Linked DNA regions of Macaca fascicularis. The protein of the gene in region 2 purifies or fractionates together with the protein of the main gene of each other region. This does not show direct contact. Links are inferred from orthologs where the notes say so. Each region holds a gene or a part of one and is shown on either strand. Other genes may lie near its edges.

What was found. The genes of interacting proteins can lie anywhere in the genome.
Region 1: the proteins of LGALS3BP (region 2) and MYCBP2 purify together in Homo sapiens (co-immunoprecipitation; 3 studies listed by BioGRID and IntAct, counting the BioPlex papers as one, with this or other methods). This does not show direct contact. The link is inferred for Macaca fascicularis from reciprocal best matches to the Homo sapiens genes LGALS3BP and MYCBP2.

Annotation. Positions count from the first base shown.
Region 1 is NC_088391.1:68,187,813-68,191,460, forward strand, and holds part of MYCBP2 (E3 ubiquitin-protein ligase MYCBP2), read right to left. Parts: intron 3,222-3,648; coding exon 3,015-3,221; intron 2,194-3,014; coding exon 2,062-2,193; intron 139-2,061; coding exon 1-138. UniProt on the Homo sapiens protein: Atypical E3 ubiquitin-protein ligase which specifically mediates ubiquitination of threonine and serine residues on target proteins, instead of ubiquitinating lysine residues.
Region 2 is NC_088390.1:85,379,864-85,383,032, reverse strand, and holds part of LGALS3BP (galectin-3-binding protein), read left to right. Parts: intron 1-847; coding exon 848-1,039; intron 1,040-2,047; coding exon 2,048-2,179; intron 2,180-3,169.

The DNA.
Region 1 (3,648 bases), on a different chromosome or scaffold from region 2:
TGTGCCATTACTGCTCAAGCTGCACGTGCTGAATGTGAACGTCACACCATCAGGGCACTGAACTGTGGTCATTCCTCCATCTCCATTGGCTGTACGGCTTCCATAGTTCCTCAAGCGCACAGCATATTTAACATTTTCCTTCATTATAAAGATGTAAAACATGTTTACATTTATTCACAATGTACAGAGGATATACAAAAAGAACTCTAGCAGTAAAATAGGCAAATATACTGAAATTTCTTATCATATTTACAGATGATACAAGTTTTTAATGAATCAAACATGATGACAGCTAATATTTACTGAATGCCTGTTGCATAAAAGCAACTGTCCTAAGTACTTTATGGAATTCAATTAATCCTTAAAATGGCTTCATGAGGTAAGTATCATTATTATCCCTATTTTACAGATGAGGAATCTGAGGTTCAGAGAAGTTAAGTAATTTGTTCTAAGTCACACAGCTAGTAAGTGATGGAACTAGGTCTGAACACAACCAATGTAACTAGTGCCTGCTCGTAATTTTACTGCTAGAATATTAGCCATAATAATTTTTCTTTTTTTTTTTTTCTGAGACAGGATCTTGCTCTGTCACCCAGCTGGGAGTGCAGTGGTGCAATCCTGGCTCAATGTGGCCTCCTCTTCCTGGGCTCAAGCAATTCTCCCACTGGTGCGTTCCATCACACTCAGCCAATTTTTTAAGGTGTTTCTGTAGAGATAAGGTCTGACTATACTGCCCAGTCTGGCCTCAAACTCCCAAGCTCAAGTGATCCTCCCTCCCTGGTGTCTCAAAAGTGCTGAGATTACAGGTGTGAGCTACTGTGCCCAGCAATACGAGATTTTAATTGCATAAGCTGATACTTTTCCTTGACTAGTTTAACTTTTAAAATAATTTTAGATGTGAGAAAAAAATAAGGGTGACTCTGCTATATTTTTAAGAAAATCTCAGAGATAGAAATTTATAGGCAAACAGACATGAGAAAAAAAAACCCACAGGAAAAAAGCTGTCCAAAATATAATGCACTGTACTTTGAAAATGTGAGCTATAGAAACTAATGCTTTATGAACCATGATATAAATTTCACAATAAAAGCTTTTTGGTTTTTCAGTATCTAAATTCTTCCTGATGAAATCTCTCATGTACCGATCTTATCCAAAATTTTGTCCTATAATGAAATTTATTTCAGTTGAATTCAGAAATACTTTAATGTTACTTTAACATTTATAATTACTTTGATGTGGTAAAATTTCTCTATTTTGCCAAATATTGTTAGAAAATAGGCTGGGTGTGGTGGCTCACGCCTGTAATCCCAGAACTCTGGGAGGTTGACGGGGGTGGATCACTTGAGGGCAGGAGTTCGAGACCAGCCTGGTCAACACAGCGAAGCCCCTCTCTACTAAAAATACAAAATTAACTGGGTATGGTGGCACGTGGCTGTAATCCCAGCTACTCGGGAGGCTGATGCAGGAGAATCATTTAAATCCAGGACGTGGAGGTTGCAGTGAGCCAAGATCATGCCACTGCACTCCAGCCTGGGTGACAGAGTGAGACTCCATCTCAAAAAAAAAAAAAAAAAAAGAACAAAAGCAAAACAAAACAACAAAACAACAAACAATAAGAGAAGAAAAGACAGGGCTAATGCTTATTTTTCATACTGTGCTAGACACTGAGGCAGGTGTTTTATTTCTATTATTTAATCTCAAGAATACTACAATGCAGGTATTATTCTTTCCAATCTACAGATAAGTCTCAAAGTGGTTAAATAATGAACTCAGTGTCTTAAAGCTAGTATGTTGGAACAGCAGGTATCCAGAGTTTAATCTGTTTGACTACAAAGCTTCCTACTACTCCAGACTTTAAGAAACATTATACAAAAATATAATATAATGTGGTACAACATCAGGTACATAGTAGGTACTCCATAAATATCTGAAGTACCTACCATATAAAGGATAACTTACGAATAGCTGTATCTAACAAACAAAATTCATGGAATACTCTTCACTATTTTAACTACATAATAATTCTTCTTATTCACAATAGAAACATACAGTTGAAACTACCTTTAAAGGAACCACTTTGTCAAGTCTGATTTCAGCTATATCACTGGGTGAGTCATCTGTTGTGTAAGTTCCTTTCACTAATTCCAGAGATGTCCATCTGTGGGAATGAGTTGAATCTCCAGCATGTTCACTCTAAAAAAAAAAAGGAAACAAAAAAATCAAGTTAGAGATAGAGATAAACTTGCTATTTACTAGGCAATGATTTACATGCTACCCCTTTCTGTCCTATTTTAATAAAACTCCGGTACTTTAAGTAATTTTAGAGAATGGATTAGAAAGATATAGCTGAATTAGTACTCTATGACATCTGAACATTGTGTTTCTTGAAAAATTACAATATAAAAAAAAAACTACTCAAGACTTGTCATCAGGGACTTAGCTAAATAAATTTTAGTCTTTAATTCCACTTTAAATCTTTCTCTTTCTGAAAGTACAAAAAATATAAGCAGTAGTGATCCAAGGTGGAAAGATGGAACACAAGCAATGAGGTAAAATCATTATCTTTCAGTTTCTTTTCTTTCTTTCTTTTTTTGAGACAGGGTCTCACTCTGCTGCCCAGGCTTGAGTGCAGTGGCATGATTATGGTTCACTGTAGCCTCAACCTCCCGGGCTCAAGTGATCCTCCCACCTCAGCCTCCAGAGTAGCTGGGATTACAGGCGTGCACCACCACACTCAGCTAATATTTGTATTTTTCATAGAGATGGGGTTTTGTCATGCTGCCTAGGCTGGTCTCAAACTCCTGTGCTCAAGTCATCCACCTGCCTCAGCATCTCAAAGTGCTGAGATTACAGGTGTGAGCCACTGTGGCCAGCCTTTTTCAGTTTCTTTAGTGTCATTCATCTGTAATTGATCTAGTAAACCCCTGAAGGTATGGACCCATCATACTATGACAATGGTAAATCCTGATACACAACCCACTAATCAGGATAAATGCTGAAAGGGTGATACTTACATCATCAACCAAGACCTCTAATTCATATTCATGAATTCCACCTCCTCCATAGACAGAGAAACCAACTACAACTATTCCAGGTTTGTCTACTGAAAAACAGATTGCATCAGGGGACCCGTTCCCAGTGTTCCAGCTTCTGCCCTGACTTGTTTTTGTAAATCGGTTAGCACTAGCTTTTACAGAGTGAAGAGAATTAAGTCCATCAACCTGTGGACAACAAAAGCAACTGCATCAGTAGTTTGTACACCTTTAACAAAACCATCCAAAGGTTTCTAAGAAGTCTAATAAAATAAGCTTTATTTAATAAGTGGGTATAAGCATTTCTAAACGTATGTTCTACTGAGAGATTAACTCACAATAAAACCAGATTTTATCATTCTAAATTCACAAATCAGTGTCACTTGACAGTATTTTCTTCCTTCAGCCATATGAAACTATATTTTCCACTTAATTTATAACGTTAGAAGTACAAGCTTGTCTTATCAGTCATAATGTATGAATAAATCACTAGACTTTGAAAAGAGATGCTAAAAATGTCATCGAAATTCTATAGATCAACAGTTTTCAAACTATGCGACATAGAGCTCTAGATATTCTGCAGAGAAAGGTATGCAAGGAAGAGGTAAATTTATGG
Region 2 (3,169 bases):
CGGTTAGCCAGGTCTTCTCTCCTGCCTGCGGCACCAGGTATCCCAAGTGATGGTGGCTTGGAGGTTCCAGGGGGCTCACCTGGGCTCAGGTGAGATGCAGGTTATAGAGAGGACACTAAGGAGTCCTCCATTCTGTCCAGAGGGAACCAGAGGAGCTGGTCAAACCAGCAGTCACCGGGGCTGTGGTGAAGTCAACGGCCTCGGACGCAGGTCAATCTTCCAGAGGGTCCTGGCTGCTTTTCCTCACATCCTTTGCACTGTGAGCCCCTGGAGGCTCACGCTCATCCTGGGGGCCCCACGGAAGCCAGATGTGCCCCCAGCTAGATTCAGGCACCCAGCTCCTGCCCGGCTCTGTCAGCTCCTATAGGGGCTGGAGTGTCGGCAGGCTGAGTCCCAGAAGGACGTGTGGAGTGGGAATCCCATTCTCTGCCCTGGAAACATTCCGTCTGTGCTCCCAGGGGTCCCTAGGCCTGCGCCCCCACAGGCCAGCACCCCCAAACTGCAGACACCCTCGGGCGGGTCAGCACAGGGCCTCCATTCCCCCACGATCCTTCCCCCGGGGTCTTGCCACCTCCATTCCCAGTGCTTGAGAACCTGGGGCTTCTCTGCCCCTGTTCTGTCTATGGAGTGAAGGGCTGAGACCCCTAAAACAAGGAAAGGCGAGTTTAGCCTCCGTGGGGCAGGGGGCTGTATGTATCTTCCACTCCTCCCTCATGGAGAGGCCAGGGGACCTTGAAACCCTGGAAAAGAAGCTCAGCAGGGGAGACCCAGGACAGCATGGGTCCTGGAGGTGCGGGCGGTGGGTACCGCAGGCCCCAGCCTGGCCCTCGCTCGTCTCTGCCTGCAGGCATGAACGATGGTGACATGCGGCTGGCCGATGGGGGCGCCACCAACCAGGGCCGCGTGGAGATCTTCTACAGAGGCCAGTGGGGCACTGTGTGTGACAACCTGTGGGACCTGACTGATGCCAGCGTCGTCTGCCGGGCCCTGGGCTTTGAGAACGCCACCCAGGCTCTGGGCAGAGCTGCCTTCGGGCAAGGTAGGGCCTGCTGTCCCCGTCCTCCAAGGCCGAGACCCACAGCACAGCCAGCTCCCAGGCAGGGCAAATTCCCGAAGATGAGACAGTCAGGTTTCAAAGACATGCAAATTGGATTACTATTAATTTAGCAAGAGCAAACAAACAATTTTTTTTTTTAAACGGAGTCTTGCTCTGTCACCCAGGCTGGAGTGTAGTGGCACGATCCCGGCTCACTGCAACCTCGGCCTCCTGAGTTCAAGCGATTCTCCTGCCTCAGCCTTCTGAGTAGCTGGGATTGCAGGTACTTGCCACCATGCCCGGCTGACTTTTGTATTTTTTAGTAGAGAAGGGGTTTCACCATGTTGGCCAGGTTGATCTTGAACTTCTGGTGTCAAGTGATCCGCCCGCCTCAGCCTCCCGAAGTGCTGGGATGACCACACCCGGCCTAAGAGCAAACACTTTTGATGGCGCTGAAGCCCTGTGGATCAAGTTCCGGTGGGACTGCGTCACCCACACTTGGCCGGTGACGGTGGCAGGTGCTTGGGCAGGTTCAAGAGCTGGGCTGGGCTTGTTCCCTCCGGCCCAGAAACTCCACTCCAGGAGTTTATCCTCTTGAAACAATTTCCCCTCAAAAGAAAAGTCTGTATGCAGGAAGATTTCCACTAACACAGCAGTTGCAATTCTGGAAAAAAAAGAGAAACAATCCACCAACTATTTTGCAGCAGGGATAGTCACACAAATACAGTATGTGCGCCTGATGTTGCAGGGACAGGCACGCAATTACTGTACATGAACGTGATGTTGCTGCAGGAGCCAGTAAGCTTTGTAAGCATGAAGGCTAAGTTTATGGCCTGACGTTGCAATCACAAACCCAGCCCTTGCTGGAATATCCACCGTGGTTCGCCGGTGAAGGACCTGTACGCAGACGGACCCGCACGGCTGGGGCGCGGAACAAAGGGCTGAGTCTCGCTGTGGGACTCCTAGGTGCAGTCATCACACCCCTAGCCCTGCCATCTGCTGTGTCCACAGGATCAGGCCCCATCATGCTGGACGAGGTCCAGTGCATGGGAACCGAGGCCTCGCTGGCCGACTGCAAGTCCCTGGGCTGGCTGAAGAGCAACTGCAGGCACGAGAGAGACGCTGGTGTGGTCTGCACCAATGGTGAGCACTTCCCTGCGGAGGCCCCAGCGTGCCCTGGGGTCCCGTGGCCCCTGCCCCTCCCGGCACCACCCCCCCACACACGAAGCACACAAAGGTTCCTTCCACTACCACCTGCCCACTCCGCATGGAGAGTCCCGGACGTCCAAAGAGCCCACCAGCTCCCAGTCCCACAGTCCTGGACTCCTCCCCAGCCCCTTCTGGAGAAACGCCCAGAACCACCAAGTCTCCATGCGGAACCCGAGTGTGGGGCAGGGAGCCACAGTCTCAGTGAGCAGGACACCTGGCTGCAGCCCGACCTGAAGTGCCAGCGCCCGCTCGGAAACACACTTCACAGCATGCGACAGGCTCAAGCCCGTCCTGGCGGAGGGAGGCCCGACCACTCGCCGCCCCAGCCAGCTTCCCCCAACCCAGCCCGGTGTGGAGGGAACCCAGGCTGCTCTATGGGTTGGAGCCCCTGGATCTGAGTTTCTTGTGTTTCTTCCGTGCCAAGGTGGTTCTTCCTGGGCTTGCACAGGACAGCCTGGGTACTTCCTGCCTACCGCCCTTTGCCAGGAGCTGGAGGCCCCTAAGGCAGGAGGGGTCGAATCCCAGGGAGCCCCTGTGCCCACATGGGATGGACAAATGACTGGAGCCAAGCCTGGACTCACAGTGCGGGAAGCCCACGAGATGCCATGGGGCTGTCGGGGGCCGGGGGAGGCCAGGCGGAGCATGCGGGGCTGTGGGTGCCGGGCAAAAGCTCCTGGGGCAGGAGAGCTGTGGTGAGGCGTGCAGGTGGGAGGCAGCTGGGGGTCCTGCAGTGGTTCAGGTTTTAGGAGGCCCAGGGCAAGCCCACCTGGTTGAAAGGTCATGGTTACTTCAAACCTATTATATTTGTGACAAAGAAAAAACTATGGGATTTCGTTTTGAGTTAGGCTTTGAGAGGGGCTCAAAGAAGGGGGGAGGGTACAGCACACGGACCCCTGACCCGGGAGCCTCCCATGACTTCTGCAG